Linked DNA regions of Oryzias latipes. The protein of the gene in region 1 binds, or shares a complex with, the protein of each later gene. Links are inferred from orthologs where the notes say so. Each region holds a gene or a part of one and is shown on either strand. Other genes may lie near its edges.

The links.
Region 2: the proteins of ubl4a (region 1) and bag6 are in contact, whole or in part, in a crystal structure (PDB 4X86), measured with the Homo sapiens proteins. The link is inferred for Oryzias latipes from reciprocal best matches to the Homo sapiens genes UBL4A and BAG6. Residues at the interface, in NP_055050.1 of Homo sapiens: Val95, Leu98, Ile99, Val102, Leu103, Arg105, His106, Phe107, Ser108, Asp111, Arg114, Val115, Gln118, Leu119, Asp122, Tyr123, Glu124, Ser126, Leu127, Ser128, Leu130, Ile135, Leu138, Arg141, Phe142; in NP_001092004.1 of Homo sapiens: Gly1052, Pro1053, Leu1055, Leu1057, Ala1060, Val1061, Ala1064, Ala1065, Ala1067, Ala1068, Ala1070, Arg1071, Pro1072, Leu1073, Thr1074, Ser1078, Leu1079, Asp1082, Leu1083, Glu1087, Val1088, Ser1091, Tyr1092, Gln1095, Leu1096, Asp1099, Ile1100, Arg1103, Leu1104.

What each region holds. Positions count from the first base shown.
Region 1 is NC_019867.2:16,992,551-17,001,330, forward strand, and holds ubl4a (ubiquitin-like protein 4A), read left to right. Parts: upstream 1-3,877; 5' UTR 3,878-4,025; coding exon 4,026-4,073; intron 4,074-5,263; coding exon 5,264-5,369; intron 5,370-5,457; coding exon 5,458-5,663; intron 5,664-5,859; coding exon 5,860-5,967; 3' UTR 5,968-6,451; downstream 6,452-8,780. Other genes in the region: cGMP-dependent protein kinase 1-like, read right to left, coding at 138-243, 1,542-1,655, 2,054-2,220, 2,398-2,515, 2,588-2,774; dynamin-1-like protein, read left to right, coding at 7,348-7,449, 7,663-7,804, 7,985-8,023, 8,216-8,262, 8,352-8,423, 8,514-8,600, 8,747-8,780. UniProt on the Homo sapiens protein: As part of a cytosolic protein quality control complex, the BAG6/BAT3 complex, maintains misfolded and hydrophobic patches-containing proteins in a soluble state and participates in their proper delivery to the endoplasmic reticulum or alternatively can promote their sorting to the proteasome where they undergo degradation.
Region 2 is NC_019874.2:28,121,411-28,129,605, forward strand, and holds part of bag6 (large proline-rich protein BAG6), read left to right. Parts: 5' UTR 1-44; intron 45-802; exon of another isoform or gene 803-804; 5' UTR 805-811; coding exon 812-892; intron 893-977; coding exon 978-1,095; intron 1,096-1,335; coding exon 1,336-1,550; intron 1,551-2,701; coding exon 2,702-2,773; intron 2,774-2,868; coding exon 2,869-2,991; intron 2,992-3,057; coding exon 3,058-3,248; intron 3,249-3,776; coding exon 3,777-3,909; intron 3,910-4,004; coding exon 4,005-4,205; intron 4,206-4,283; coding exon 4,284-4,512; intron 4,513-4,646; coding exon 4,647-4,697; intron 4,698-4,772; coding exon 4,773-5,125; intron 5,126-5,190; coding exon 5,191-5,263; intron 5,264-5,346; coding exon 5,347-5,639; intron 5,640-5,726; coding exon 5,727-5,976; intron 5,977-6,053; coding exon 6,054-6,223; intron 6,224-6,301; coding exon 6,302-6,355; intron 6,356-7,296; coding exon 7,297-7,405; intron 7,406-7,495; coding exon 7,496-7,620; intron 7,621-8,195. UniProt on the Homo sapiens protein: ATP-independent molecular chaperone preventing the aggregation of misfolded and hydrophobic patches-containing proteins.

The DNA.
Region 1 (8,780 bases):
CTTTCACAGTTATTGGGAACAAAATCGTTTTCATTTAATATAGATGTTCGACAAAAAAATAAAACCCTTGAGGTGTTCCGTGAATTAAAACTCATCGTCTGAGGCTGCTTTGTTCGATTTCTCTGGTTGACACTCACCTTCTGAGCAGCTCCACTGAATGAGAAAGGCGGCTGAGACTGCAGTGCATCAGCACAGTCTGAAAGCTCTTGCGGTCAATAGTCCACAGCTTACAGTCCGATTGTGCTGAGACAAAAGCAGAGAAAAATGTGAAGGTTGTTGTCAGCGACACCTGAAGTAAAGTGGAGAAGCTGCTGAGGAGAGACAGTACATGCCGCCTGCAGTGGTTTGAGATTCACAATTAAATATCAGCTGAGACCTAAAAAGCAAGCGGGTAAATCAGAGTTAATAGCTGTCGTTTCACAAGACATAAATCGAATCCTTTAGCAATAAATACTCTATATTCAGCGTTTGACGATGGTGTAAAAGAGTAAGTGCTGATATTGATTGCTTCACAAAAGCTTCCTGCAAATAAAAGATGTTATCGTCGAGACAGTCAGAGTGGATCCAGCAGCTAATAAACGGTGCGACTCAAAACGTTTCAATTTTAATGTTCCGATATTAACCGTGAGCTTCCACTTTACAGCTTCACCAAATTGTTTGTCTTGAAGCACAATTTTTCTCCCTATTCTCATCATTTTTCTTCCTGATTACATGCTGCCATCTGCACAGTATCATCATTCAGACGAACAAAAGAATTACATGAGATGAAGAGCAGACTGAAAGCAGACACTCGGCAGCCTGGATATTCACAGAAGCAGGAATCTGGTTCATAAAGTCAATTAAGATAATTGAACTCATAGATAGTGATTGAAATTCTTTTTTCCCACAAATTGATCTTATCACCTCATAGTGAGTGAGAAGGTCCTGCTTCAAATCCCAGCAGGATCTTTTCCGTGTGGAGTTTGCCTGTTCTCCCAGTGCATGTGTGGGTTTTTCCAGACACTCTGGCTTCCTCCCAGTGTCCACAAATATGCATCTTAAGTCAATTGATGACTCTAAATTGTCCCAAGGTGTGAATATGTGTGTGTCACTGCAATGGACCGCAAAAACCATCAAGGTATATCCAACCTTTGCCCAACAGTGACTGGGATGGGCTCCGGCAGCCCTGTGACGCCAAAATAGATCAGAAAATGGGTTGATGGGATGAGATTCTGCATTTATTTGTGAAACCAGGTCAGAGGCTTGGGGTAACGACAGAGTTTCCCCCATAGAGCTTCAAGATTAGATATGAAGAAAGGATGTGACACTTACTATGTCATGAAAATATCACAAATCTTTAAAAAGGTCGACAAAATGGGTTGAAATGTGTCGCTAAATCCAGAACTGCAGGGAAGAGAAGTGCTGGGTTATTCAAATCAAAATATGTTTTACGGTCAAAATGACTTAAGCCAAAAGCTGTCCTTGTTGATTTTAGATTGAAGAATTATTCAAAGAGCATGCTTCCACTTTGAGGCATCTTATCCTATCATCCCACAACTTACCAGAGACAGAAAAGGGGAAAGTGCAGTTGTAGAGGAGTGCCAGCTCGCCAATCGTATCCCCTGGTTCAATTGTCAGCAGCTTGCACCCGTCTTGAGTCACGCTCAATCTTCCTTCTGTCAACATCACACACTTAGTAGGAAAAAGGAGCACATTGATAGTATAGAATCCATGTCGGATAAAAGTAACTGTCAGCTTGATGCGCACTTCATGCACAAAAGATGGTTCAAGTGACAAGACTGAAAGCAGGAGGCAGCTTCCTCTCTGATGAAATCTACGTTCAGTTCATGACCTCTTTTCTCCTGGTATTCTTGTTCATGTTCCCCGTCTTTAAGCGGGAGCTATTTGTGTGCTTTAAACCATAAAGCTGTCATCAAATGCAAAAAAAAAAAAAAACAAGCTGCAAAATGAGTTTTAAAAAGCAGTTGTTGGTGAAAACAAATTATTTTAGCCACTTTCCTCACAAGAAACCTCTAATAAATAATCTTAAGGATGACAGATGGCAGCAATTTACCTTCTAAAATAAAAGCCTGCTCCCCAGCGCTCCCCTCCTGTATGAGAGTGCAGTTTTGATTGATGGAGCAGCGATATGTGCAGGATGTGACAGCTCTCATTTCTCCTTCGTCTAAGTTCTTCAACAGGTCGTTTTTCAAAAGCCCTGCCTGGATCAGGCTTTGAGATCTGATGACACACAGGGATGATAAAGATGCAACACTCCGAGTGTAGCTGTCAATCACCTTAAATGCCGCGCCACAAGCCACAAATGCTGACTCAAAATGCTTGACCATTGAGTGATGCTAAAAAATTTGAAAAGTTGGCCTTCTTAGCTGAAGTTGGAGGAACACAGTGTGCTCTTACTGTTGACTTTTGTCACAGCTTTTGTGTGAAATCCTGGCGAGAGTCACGGGGTCCGGGCTGAAGGGTTCTGAAATGACTGTGTGCTTTTTAGCTCGCTCCATGCCCTCAATTTGAGGAGCTATAAAAAATAATTGAGATTTTTAGGTCACGTCTACAACCTGTACTTTTAAATGATTGACCTACTCTTTACCTGCACTGGGTGAGGGTCCTGAGAGGCAAACAGTGGTCCTGTAACGGTCCAGTTCTTCCTGTAGCCTTCGAATGAGTTCATCCTTTGTATCCAGTTCAAGCTCCAACTCATCTATGAGTGTGTCTCTCTGGCGGAGCTCCTCGATTTTTAGTTGCAGAGCAAACTGGAGGTCCCTCAGTGTACCCATGATCTGCAGGCATCAGCCAGGAAAGCACAAAGATAAACAGCTCGTTGCTATGAGAATAAAAAAGAAATTGTAATTTTTTATTTCACAAACTTAAATATGAAAAATATTATGCATATCTATCTATGTCAAAATGCTGCCTTGCAATTGTAGCACACATTTCCATCCAGGTTAAAGGCAAAAACAATTCATTGTCAAGTGCATCATAAGTTTATCCCACTAAAAAGAATACATTTTCAGAGTAAACAAATTATACTTTTTTTTATTATGTACGTTTTATGTGAAGCTGCAAGGTTTTATGTAGGCTATATAAAAATTGTCAAAAGAGAAAAAAACAATAACAAAGATAAATTGTCTTTATCATCTTAAATTTAATTACACTCAGCCACAGATCCATTGTTTTTTCAACACCTAATTGATGGATGGTACACAAATGCTACTCACCGGTGTAGGTGAGCAGTCCGCCTGGCGTCCTCAAGTGAAGGATGCTGGTCAGGAGGAATGCCCACAGCGCAGACAGGCGGTCACGTGACGCGGGCTCCCTCCAACCACGAGGAGGGGGAACAGAATGACACATGCACAGGCTGGATCCGAACTGGGTCAGAGGAAAGTAGTTCTAATGGGAAAATTTGACACTAAATTTTGCTTTCGGAAAGAAAAAAGAACGAGCATCTGCCCGACTTTGGACATTAAAAAAATGTCAATGCTGTAAACGCATTTTTTGTGAAAATCTTTTTGTGTATTGAACATAAGCAATAGAAGGTGGTCAGGTAATTATGGGTAAATTGTAACAGTAATCTACAGGTGAGTCGGATCCAATTTTCTTTTCAAATTGACAAACACGTTACTATTCAAATGTAATGTAATGACAAAAGTTTATCACCATGTTTTTTGTCTGTCAAAGGAAAAAAAACACCCATGTGTGTACAGGTGTATTGGCACAGTATCCTGCTTAGGAGATCAATTTGGATATCATCGCCTAACCACTTTAGTTCCGATAAACTTTTAATTGAACTTTAATCGTGGTGTCATTTCTTCTTAGCTGCGGTACATCCTTCATGCCAGTAGGCGGCAGCAGCATTACTTGATGTCAGCAACAGAGGCAGTGGCATCGTTGAGAGGAAACAGGAGAAGAAGATGGGACGCTGACGGGACCACAGCCAGTGTGGCTATAACGAGCAAACTTAGTAACCCTTTTGGCTGGACTTTAATCACATTATTGTGTGTTTTTGTTTTTAGTGAGAGTGTTGAAAAATGATTCTTACAGTAAAGCCACTTCAAGGGAAGGAGTGCAGTGTTCAGGTTAGTTAAAAAATCGAACTCCATAATGCTAATTTGCACAATCAGCTAGCCGGGTATATCTGTTAGCCGCTCAGCATCATAAGTTTTTTAAAGTGCTTTGAATAAAGTGAACATAAATTTAATTTATTAGTGACTGTAACTCTAACACTAACCAGTACTAAAGATGCGGTTGTACATATACACACCCGTTTATAGTTCTAAAGCAGCTTTACCGCAGCTAGCATGTTAGCTAATTTAGAAATGCAAGACGAAGAACTCTTTCTGTCTGAATCATTCTCGCTGAGGTCACGCCCAGCAGCTGAGTGGAAGTTGTTGTTACTCCTTACTTGGTGCTAATGCAGTAAAGAGAAGTGAGTAAGGAACCGCGGTGTATTAGAGGACTTTGTTTGGTCAGCGCGTTGAAACAAAAAACGGTGTTGGTATTATTTTACAGTTCAGCAGTTATATTTGCTGCTCCTGGATGTGCCTTTGTGTCAAATCAGTTAAGACATACAGTTGCATGAAAGCAGCATTATGAACCTGCTTCTCTTATCACAAATTTAGAATTGTATATATTTTTCATTTACATAAAGTAATCATTTTAAAACTCCACAGCACTTCATTAACTTTTTTAATTATGTAGTTATATATTCTATTTATAATTTTTTTTAACCAAAACATTTTTTTGGTTTTGTGTTGTTCTTATTTTGAGTACCGTAGTACTTATGATCATGTTTTTTTTCTTTAATGCCAACTTTAAAGTGTAGCGGTAATTACACATTATACATTATATATGGCTGTTCTTCAGATTAAGTCAAACATGTGCACTTAAAATTGGTCATACAAAGCCATTTAAGACATCTATTGAATTAGATTTTAAGCCGAGAATTTTATCCCAGACAAGACAGTGAGTTTTCGGCACATTTCGAAAAAAATACGAAGGCTTTGAATAAACAATATATTTGTAATTGTTTTGAATTATTGTAACAAATGTTTTTGTCTTGAGCTGATAAAACGTTTTCACAATAGGTACTTTGTTACTTTATTACATAAAATGAATTATTTATTTTGCCCGTTTAATACTGTTTTTATGTATTCATTTTTTTTATTATTGCATCCTTAGAACTTGTTTTCCCCGCAGTCTTTCTATACCAGTTGACTCTATTGTTCTTGTTTAAATTACAGTTTAAGAATTTGTTTTTATCCCACAGGTGACAGAAGATGAAAAGGTTTCCACAGTGAAGGAACTTGTTTCTGAGCAACTCAACATACCAGCAAACCAGCAGCGGCTGCTTTACAAAGGAAAGGCACTGGCAGGTAAAATTTGCCTACTACTTTTTTTTCTTTCCTTTATACTTTTGTCAGGTTCATAATTTATCTTTCTGTATGCCCTTTTTTCTTTCAGATGAACACAGACTTAGTGATTATTCCATTGGACCAGAGGCTAAATTGAACCTAGTAATCCGTCCTGCAGGAGAAAGATCTGCAGCCTCAGCAGTGACTGGCTGCAGCAGCAGGAACATGGGAGGACTGTGGCAGACTGTGTCCACTATACTTGCTAGACACTTCAGTCCAGCAGATGCAGCAAAAGTTCATGAACAGCTTATAAAGGTAAGATAAGTTTTTATTCATGGTTTCCCAAAAGTTGTAATGGTTAAAGTTCTGTTACTGCCTTTCAAACCCACTATATAAATTATATTACAAAACGAATGTCTATTTTAACTATTTAAAATAATTTGTCATGTTGTGAGCTTGACAGTTAAGCTCCTCTTTGTTATTACTAAACTTTGTTTTTGTTTGTTTTTAGGACTATGAACGTTCACTTCGACAGCTCAGCCTGGATGACATTGAACGACTAGCAGTGCGATTGCTTCACCCTGACAGCGAGAGCATGGACACCTCCTACATGGACTAGCATTGGAAAACCTAAATCTACTTTGTATGAATAGATTTAGGAGAAACTACATGTTTGGGAAAATAAATGTGAGGCCATTGAGAATACAATGTGTGCCTAATCAGTGATTATTGATATTGCTGACTTGTGTCAGTGACTAATGTTTATCTCAGCAATAGGGCTTTCTCATGTGTGTTTTCTCTTCTATTTTTAATATTGACACCATTTGTTGAAAGACTAGTTTTTTTTGTGTAAAATCAAAACACAAAAACATTGTTTCGTGCTAATGTTGCTTGATTTCTGGCTGCTGCAATTCCAGGCAACACTAACTTCCACTTGAGACTATTTATTATTCATGTCAGCGTTGAATGATGCCTGTTTTTATTTTATTTTTTTCATTTAAACGTGGGATAAAAGAATACACACATCTTTTATTGTTCAGATGGCCATTGTGCGATTTGTAAATATTGTTTATATATGACGACAATAAAAGATCAAGAAATTACTACGTTTTTTTGTTTTTTTTACGTTGTATTGTGAGAAATAGTTGTGTTTTGTGTAAATATTGCCGGTTTGGAAACAAGGAGAAGGAAGACTGAAGAGAATGTCGCAAGGCGGGACATTTTATTTTACCGCTGGGCGAGAACAATTAAGGGAGCCAATGAAGCAATAGCAAGACACGTGATCTATGTTTTTTGACCAATCAGGTGGGTTGCCACCAACGCTCCGCCCCTCTTTCCAAGCATTTGGTCTGTGCTTTATGTTCTGGTTACTTGTAAACCAGCTCCTATAAAATGGTGTATTTTAAACATATTTAGCATAATTTAAAGTATGAAACATAGAATAGTCGGATAGGGGTGGATATATTCGTAAACACTGAAAAGGTAAGAATGTAATATCGGGTTTATTTATTTATTTATGGCCAGTAAGCTAATGTTAGCATGAAGCTAGCAGCACATACTGTACTTCCTGCATTCATCCAGCGAGCGTTAGCAGATAACATTTATTACCTCGGACTTTGTCGATAACAAATGTCTAAAATGTACGTGCTGTCACCTTTGCTACCGGCAATCAATAGTTAATTTTAAATTTCAAATCCCTTCAAGCTAGTAAGTAGTACATTGTATCCGATGTTGGTCGAGTTGAGGCGTTGAGTCCTCTCATCATGATCATCAGGACCACTTCTCCCTGGAGAAAAGCCTTAGTAGGATAGCAACGCGCCACAGAGGAGGAAAACTGAAGATCCTGTTCCTTAGAGCTAAGCCTAAGGTTATCAATTAAACATGTTAGAGATGGTTGCATCCATGAAGCAAACAGCCTTGTTTCTCGTTGTTGAGTGTCTTGATGTTTCTGTTCACATCCCTCATGTGTTCACCAACAGTAGGAGAGACGACTGGAAAGATGGAAACTTTGATTCCCACCATCAACCGGCTGCAAGAGGTCTTTCAGACGGTCGGGACAGAGATCATACAGCTGCCTCAGATAGTCGTGGTTGGGACTCAGGTCAGTGGATGGAAACCAGAATTGGAAAACTGAGTGAAAACAATGTTGTGTTTGTACACTTATCTTGTCTTGATTATTGGATAATCATCCAGAGTAGATGTATACTAAAGTATGGTTTCACCCAGTTCAGGGTTCTAGTTAAAAAGTTCTTTTTAAATTAAAAATAGATGATGTCCTGTTATTACTCATGTGCTGTCGTTGTTTTTATAACAGAGCAGTGGAAAAAGCTCAGTGCTAGAGAGCCTGGTCGGAAGGGATTTTTTGCCTCGGGGATCTGGAATAGTCACAAGACGACCCCTTGTGTTGCAGCTCGTCAATGTTGCTCCACAACAGGAAAGGCTGAAGAATGAGCATGGTAAACAGATTATGACTCAATGATAACTCAATTCGATGTAAAACACTTAGGCTTATAATTCTCTCACAGCATTGAGTTATGTTGAAATCTTTCTATGCACTTCTCTCTGTCACTTGGTTTTGATACAGGGTTTTTCTGAACTAACACATTTTCTTCCTCTTTTTCTTTACTACTTTTTAGGAAATGGGCTTAAACAAAATATTCAAAACAGCTACACAGGTCACTATATTTGATCTGCATGAGAAAAAGTTTCTACTTCTTCATGTTTACCATTAACCGTCTCACTCATTTAGTTAATTCAGTTTATTTTCATTATGTTTTTGCCAAATCCTTTTTTTTAAATTCATATTCCATTCTTTTATACTTTAATTCTTCATCCCTGACACTTTTATGCTCTTATTTTCTATTCAGGTGTCAAAGCTGAAGAATGGGGCACATTTCTGCATTGTAAGAACCAGGTATGTTCATCATTTTTATTCTTGTTATGCTTCTGCTTCCTTTGTTTTGCAAGCTTTCTGATGTTTGATGGGTGTGCCTTTCTTAACAGATCTTCACAGATTTTCTGGAAATTCGTAAAGAAATCGAAGCAGAGACAGAGCGCACTTCGGGGGACAACAAAGTGAGAAAAAGGCTTTTGTATAACCTTACTGACCTGCAATATTTTGGTTTTACATAATAATCATGTTTTCTTTTCTTTCTTGTTTTCCAGGGAATCACTTGTGAGCCCATATATTTGAAGATATTCTCCCCCAAAGTTCTGAATCTCACTCTGGTTGATTTACCTGGAATTATCAAGGTGAACTCAGTAATCTGACAAAAATGCAATTTTTTTTTTTATCTTTACTTTTTGATTTGTGCAAACATCTGTATCTGCAATCCATGTTCATTTCATCCAAACATCTGCCTGGGTTTAATGTTGAATGCCTCTTGTTTTTGCTTTAGGTTCCTGTTGGAGACCAGCCAGAAAACATTGAGG
Region 2 (8,195 bases), on another chromosome or scaffold:
CTGTGGACTCTGGATACGTTAAAAAACATTGTATGATTTAAAAGGTAAGCGTTTGACGGTGTGACGCATAAAAAACGGAATGTTCTGCGCTTAAGCATTAGTAGCGACACGACAGATCAGTTAGCATCTTTAGCTAATCTGTTTGGCTAATTAGCCAGTCGGCGTTTATTTGGTTCCTAAAAAAAGTAATCCTGCTGAAGAGCAAGTGGCGATATGTTACTTTCTATCTTTTGTTATACTGTCTGTCCTAAATCTTAGTTTAATATTACATCGCTCCTGTCCTTGTTTAGCGAATACAGCCGGGCTAACTGTTTTTGGCTAACGCTAGTACAGGGAGTCCGTCTTTGGGAAAAAAACAAAGCATTAAATCAAATTTAACCCACTGAGTCTAACATAAAGATATAGATGCTATTTTACGTTAATTGTATGTTTATTAAAATTCTTGTTTAGGAAATAGCTCAGTTAATAATGTATTTTAAATTAGAGCTAAATAATTCAGCTGATTGTAGTTATCCGGATTCCTTAGTTAGAGATTTTATTTTCTAGACTAAAGGCTGGTTAATAAATTCACTTCAACGTTGCCTGTTTGTTAAAAAGAAGAGGTGATCTAGATGATTGCTGAAAAATTGGAAACTACGCTCACTGTTCTTCATAAACTTATAAACATGCCGTGGACGCACCATGCTTGTTGAACAGATTGTTAAATAACCTGGTGCTTATCAAAATTTTTGTAAAAGTGTACAAACACTTTAAAAAGTCACATAAACAGAATAATTTGTAATTGAAGATGTAATACAATTGCAGGAACGCTATGGATGAACAAACCTCAGACATAGAAGTGACGGTCAAAACTCTGGACTCTCAGAGCAGAACCTACTCAGTCGGTGCTCAGGTAAATGGAAAGTTCCTGCTGTAAATATTTGGGTAGTTTCCTTTTGTCTTTTATGATCTGACTGAAATGATCCATTGTTTTGCAGCTGACAGTTAAAGAGTTCAAAGAGCACATTTCTCCTTCAGTGGGCATCCCTGTGGACAAACAGAGGCTCATCTACCAGGGCAGAGTACTGCAGGATGAAAGGACGCTGGCAGACTACAGTTAGTCAAAGGATATATTAAATCTTCCTCCTCTTAACCTTTCAGCTTGTTGCTTCAGGGAGTCTCTCCATCTGAACATCCCTTCTGCCTCCTTTCAATCACACCACCAAGGAGCATTTCAAAACTATTTCTTTTAAGTAAAAATTCTGTCATTGAATTAGTTTTTGGTTCCATCTGCTCTTTCTGCTGATTTGCCACTGCTTCTGTTTTAGCTGACCATATTCTCCGCTACTCTTGTAGATGTGGCTGGAAAGGTGATTCACCTTGTGGAGCGGGCCCCCCCTCCACCCTCCCAGCCTGGCTCGGGGTCAGGGGCCACCGCAGCCGACAGCGGGCAGTCTTCATCCTCCCAGGGAGCATCGCAGGTGCCTCCACACGATCGCAATGCCAACAGCTATGTCATGCTTGGAACCTTCAACCTCCCCGTCAATATCATGGACCCCCAGCAGATACAGGTAGGTCTGCATTGTTGGTGTGCGTTGTCAGGGATGAAGGCAGCACTGCTCAACAGATGACGAGATTCCAGTTGCTCAGGGCAACTAAACTCTGTGTTTCGGCATGAAGATCTGAGTTCAGTCAAGTTGAAACATTACTTTTCTAAACGGCTGCCTTCAATCTGCCATGAGGCTGTCTGCTTTTGTTAACAACCTTTGATCACAAACCTGCAGGAAATTTTTCTTAAAAGGACCAAGTCTTCTGGATCAAAATGACATGAAAGTCAGATGGGTTCGTTCAAAGTGAAAATAAAACCACAGGGATTGATTTCAGATTTTAAAACCATCTAGATGTAGTCGGTTTATCACGCAGAGCACAAGTGAATTGTTCTGTGTGATCTCTGCATTGTTTTCATCTCAGCATTTTCCACTATGTCCGATCATATTGTGTGGAGATGTTAAAGGGAAAATGGACAAAGATGGACTTTAGAGACTCCGGCATATGAACTCTGTTCATGTCATCTTGATGGGTTTGCTAAATTATCCTAAAAACAAATACATTTAAAGCTGCAACGACTGTTGAATGACCATTGCCACCCTGCACCATGGGCCCATCAACAGCCCCCCAGGTCTGTCTGCTGCCCCCAGCAGCTTCTCCTCGGCCTGTGCTGCAACAGAACAGGATTAAGGCGTGATGCTCATCCTCTAACTCTGCAGCCCCATCTGAAAATGGTGCCACAGTAAAACCCCACCCGCTCCTCTACATTCCATGGTCCATGACATCAGTGAAGATGGAGCATAAAGAAATTTAATGATTTTTACTGGATGGCTCTTTCTTAGGGGATATATATATATAAAAAAAAGGTTTTACTGGCCCAATTTTACTTAGTTTTTTTTGTTGGAAGAGAACAAATCGTTTACTTTTTATGACAAATTTTTGAATCAGTTTTGCGGATTTTCATGCATATTAGGGGTCTAATTAGGTCTCAAAGAGGGAGAAAGTAAAATAATAAATAATAACAATTGCAATTATGACTCTTAGTCCACTTTGTGATTGCTTGAAGACTGTGGTTTAAGCCGAAAATTACTCAATGATATGATAAAGTATATAATACTTATATAATAAAGACACTAACTGTACATTAAAGCTGTGTGATTCTTGTGTCTCCTAGATGTCTGTTCAGCAGATGGTCTCTGGAATGGGAGATAATGCAAGAAATGCTCGAGTCACAGCCAGTACTGGAGTAAGTAATAGAAGCTCCCTTCTATTCTTTAAAAGCTCGTCAAAAAACAGGATTTGAAACAAAAACCTTTTCTTTCCTGTTGTGACTGCTCTCAGAGCAACGGGTCTGTAAACGTTCACATCGACATGGACCAGCCGGTGCAGAGCGAACCCAGGCTGAGGCTGGTTCTGGCCGAGAATCTGCTGCGAGACCTCAACGATGTCATCAGCAGGATGGAGGCGAGCCACTGCGCCACAGGAGTCTTTATCTCCCAACCGCCATTCACTGACATTTGTCGTTTTTAGGGTCGACAGAGCGATTCCCAAACCTCCCAATCAGAGACGGCCTCTGCTGCTGCTCCGCCTCCTCCCTCTTCTTCCTCCACAAGCTCCACCCCTTCTCCCTCCACTCAGCCCATGGACACCTCACCTCCTCCAACAACTCCACCCACCTTCTCTGCTCAGTCTGAGGGACCCACTCCACAGCCAGGACCCAAGTGAGAGATTGAATTCAAAAGATTCACGAGAATTTTATTTAGTTTGATGATATTTGAAGGCCGTCTGTTTAAACAAGTGATCAGCTCATAAAACCAACGATTTATTGATTTGAGAAGCTGATAAGTTTTCTTATCCCCACACCTCTAGACTAAACATTAGAGGTTCCACCAAAATATTGAAATAATTCAAATTTATGTTTCTATTTGGTCAAATATCAATCTATTTTTCAAATTTCATTTAAAGTCGTTTTTTGTGTAGTTATGAAAACATTTGTTACATGACAGATATCAACTAAACAAAGGAGATTCTTTCCTTAATAAATGATACATTTTTATAATTAAAAAATATAATTATTAAAATAAAAATCCAACCTTATGACATATCCTCCGGGTTTTTTTTATATTAAAAGTTTCTTAACTTAACTAACTAAATGTACTTCTAACCCAGCTTTAATCTAGTCTACAGTAGATAAATTATTTTTATATCTGTTTTATTTGTTTGCTGTCGTTGCCCCCCCACCCCTGCAGTCACCCCAGCCCCGCTGAGCTGGCAGAGATGTTGTCAGAGCTGCGGAGAGTCGAGGAGAGGCTGCAGCCTTTCATCCAGAGAGCGCACGGCATCTTGGAGACGGCGGCGGCGGCCGAGTACAACAATGACACAGTAATGCAGCACCCCTGCATCACGAGGCGCTCTGTCGCTGTAATGTTTGTGTTGGCGTGACTAAATATTACATTTTTATGTTGTTCTCCGTGCAGGAGCGGGAGGACGACCAGAGGACCCTCATCCAGATGTGCGAAGGTCTCCGGCTCCTTGGCAATGCCCTGGTTGCCCTCAGTGATCTTCGACTGAACCTCTTGAGCCCGATCCCCCGACATTTGCATGTGGTGCGGCCCTTTTCCCACTACGCCAGCCCGGTCACTCTGCCCAGCGCCGTGCATCACCATGTCCCAGTACAAGTACGTCACAGTCGTCAGTTTTCAGGTCGGTGCCCCCGCTCGCACACTTCCACTGACCTCTCTGCGCTTCACTCACAGATGAACCTGGGGGCCACAGTGACTGTTGCGGCCAACAGCACTGAGGGACAGGCTCCGCCCACACAACCGTCCGGCCAAGCGGAGCAGGCAGGTCAGGGACAGACCCCCCCCGCACAGACTTCCCCGTCCAATCAGCCGCCGGGACAGGGACAGGGACAGGCTGGCCCCCGGGTCATCAGGATCAGCCACCAGGCAGTCCCGGTGGTCATGATGCAGATGAACGCGGACGGTGTGTTGTCCCAGACGCGCTGATTGAGTTTTCATCGCAGCAGTTCTGGGTTTCAGCAGCTGCCGCTGAAGTCTTCGGCTGCAACATCCATGACGCTCCGGAAATGACCGACGTGTTTGTGTTTGTGATCGCAGGTCCCAGCCCCAGCCCTGCAGCGGGGGGACAGCCGATCCCGGCACAGCCAGGTGAGGGTCGGCTGTGGCTTCGTTTCCGTCTCTGGATCATATTCTTCTGACCTTGTCCCCTCTGCCCCCGTTCAGGTGGTCTGCCCCCGGACTTCATGCGGAACCTCATGCAGCAGATCAGTCAGTACGCGGCGGCTGTCGCCACCAGCGCCGCCACCGCTGCTGCTACTGGACAGCCGGCCGCCCCCCAGCCCACCCCTCCTGGTCAGAGCTCCACTCCCAGCTCCTCAGCTGCTACAACGGGTCCCAACACCCCCACTACCACCCCAACCGCTCCCCCTCCACCGTCCCACGCCAGCCCGCAGCCTCAAGCCAGGGTGGTGTTCACCCGACCTTCTTTCACCACCAACATTGCCCCCCCGGCCTTCGGGACCCGTGGAACCACCATCAACGTGAGGGCGGCCATGCCGGGCCAGCAGCAGGGGCAGGTGGGGCGCCGACTGTTTGGACTCTTTCTGATTCATGCAGGAAACTGACGGCCTTTTCCTCGCAGGCTTTCAATCCGGTGGCATTTAACCAGATGATCACCGGGCTGGTGGGACAGATGCTGCTGCCGGGGCAGATGGGTAATGACCTCACTCGTAACCAGAAGAATTAAAAGACCGTTGTCTTTTCTAAATGGTTAAAGAGGAACTTCTGCTTTTTCCAGCCGGTCAAACGGTCACCTCTTCCACTGCGTCCACATCCTCCTCTTCCTCTCAGACTTCCTCCTCCTTCTCCTTCTCCACCTCGGGTCCAATGCCTCCATCTGCAAACGCCCCACCCACCCAGGACCAAGGGGAGGCCGGCGGCAGCGAGCCCCAGCCGCAGGAAATCCCCCCCGACATCAGTCAGCTCATGAGCTCGCTCTTAGGCGGTGCCAGTGGCGGAGCCCCCTCCATAACCGTGACCACGTCCGGAGTCCCCGCCTTCCTCCAAGGCATGAGTGAGTTCATGCAGCAGGTGGGTGTTTGCGGCGTGAAAACAGCACAGAAACGATGAAGGTGATTCTTCCCGGCTGAGATCGTCTGTATTTCTGTGGCCCTCCAGCCGATCTTCCCCACGCCCCCCTCTGGAACCCCCGCAGCCCCCGCTGCAGGGGCCACCTCTGCTCCCAACCCGGCTGCAGGCGCGTCCGAGTCCATCAACCCGGAGCTGTTCACCGGCATCGTCCGTGGCGTCCTGAGCACGCTGATGGGCTCTCTGGGCCAAACGCAGAACGACTCTGAGAGCATCGCTCAGTTCATGCAGAGGCTGTCCCAGGCCACCAACATCTTCATCAGCACCGAAGAGCCCACAGGTGCGTTTAGTCGGCAAGCCTCAGCGCATTCTGCACCCGCAGGAGGACTCATCTCTCCTCTTTGTTGTGGATGTCAGGTTTCTTCGGGGAGCTGCTGATGCTGGTGTGTCAGCTCTTCACCATGTCGGACCTGGTGATGCTGCTCCACGGACAGCACCAGCCGCTGAGCCGCATCCAGCCCATGCTGTCGCAGTTCTTCACCGAGAACTACCTCAGCGGCAGAGAGCCCACCGACCAGAACATCGCTGTCAGTCCTCCTGCTTCATGTCTGCAGATTTTTAACCTGGACCCTCTGTTCATCGGTTCTCCTGCTTCCTTCCCACAGGCTGCTGCTGACAGTCTGGTTAATGAACTGGAGGAGTACATCACTGAGAGCTTCGTAAGTCATCACTTTACATCCACTAAGCAGCTTTCTCATTTACACTCTGGAGGCTGAACTTTAAGCTTTTTCTGCAAATTTGTGTTCATGGCAAACGTCTGAATCTACAGGTTACGACTTTGTTTAAACCCACATACGACAAAAATTCACCTTTGATGAATCCTGACTGTCACCATAAACCATTATTAGTGCCAAACTCCACCTTATTGAAATATCTAAAGCCTCAGATGAAATAATTCTATTTACAAACGTATAGAGACGAGAATCCAGAGTCAAAAAACACATTTGATCATATTTGTCATCCTCCTGACTTGGAGGTCGTTCCTGAAATTCACTGACTGTGACACAAGGGGGCGACATTCTAACAGCAGGAGGAGCCAGAGAGGATTTTTTTTTAAACTATTTCAGATAAAAGCTTAAAAAATGTTTTTGTCAAAATTCTGACTACTGAAAAACAATTTAAAGCTAAAAATAATAAATTTCGGCAGGTCAAGTTAAAGATGGAAGATTTTTTTCTCCCATAAACTGGATTTTACCTGCCAGGGAAAGAATTGGCACATAAAAAAACATGAAGTTTTCTACAGTAACTATTTATAAATCGTTTAATCTAAAGAGAGAAAAACACAAATCTTTAAAAAATAATGGAACATTTGCTGTAATTATTTTGAACAGAGTAAAATTTTTGGCAGATTTTAGACCCAAACCAACCTTCACCATGTCTGAAGGATTTGTAGCCTTTTCATTTTAACTAACAGAAATATTGAATATGTTTAAAGAAAACATCCAAATTTGCCAAAATATAAGCTAGAACTTTTAAGAGCTCAACATTTTTGTACCAGAATGGTTAAAACTGACTGAAAACACGGTGAGAACTGGAGCTTTTTCTTCAGGTGAACAAACAGTTTTCCTGGTTGTTCAGAACAGCAGCTTTCTTTGAACAGAGAGAGTCTTCAGTTGCTGTGCTGGACGAAGTGGACGTCACCCAGACCAACATGGCCTTCTTCAGACATCACCTGACCACCATCGCCACACACATCCTTCACTGCACAGGTGAGCAGCGTCACAGATTAGAAACAAAACGTTGGCGTGAATGTGAGGAAACGGCTGATGGTGGATCTAATGCCACCTCTCTGTTTTTAGATGAGACTTTTGGACCCACGCTGCTGAGGATGTGCAACCGCGCGCTCTTCGAGTGTCTCGCTCTGAACCTGCACTGCCTGAGAGGAGACCAGAGGGCTCTGACCGCCGTCATCAACCACCGGATTGTGAGTTTCCTTCTGCTGGTGTGAGAGTTCAACGCACAAGTCTGATGTTTTAAAGTGGCATCAGGTAGTTTAACCTGCAAGAACGCCGACCCATTTTTTATTATTGGACTTTGTCACAGTCCAAGTGGATCATGTGACACATTTCTGATGCATTTCTGTTACACTGATGTCACCATCTGTGTAACCTTATGGTTTAAGGTTTAGGAAATGAATAAATATGTGTCAACACAGATATCACCAGCCCAGTGATCATCAGGTTAAACGCCACTGTTTTTAGCCATAATCAAAAAACAGCATTGTCTTCAAAGGCTGAGTTTCTGCAGAGCAGCACGACTTCTGAGTTTGGGGACTGTTGGTCAGAGCTTTTAGCCCAGCCTCAGTATTTTCTATGTAGCAAATGAGCTCTTCTTCAAAGTGCTTTTTTTTTGGTCTGCTCCTGATTCACAGCGAATCATATAAAAAGATGCTCAGAAATGCAATTTGGAGCTTTTTTGTTCTTAATGTACCTCATCCATCATCAGGAAAAAAACACGATTAGAAACACTTTTCTTTAGAGTGGGTCTTTAAAGCTCTGG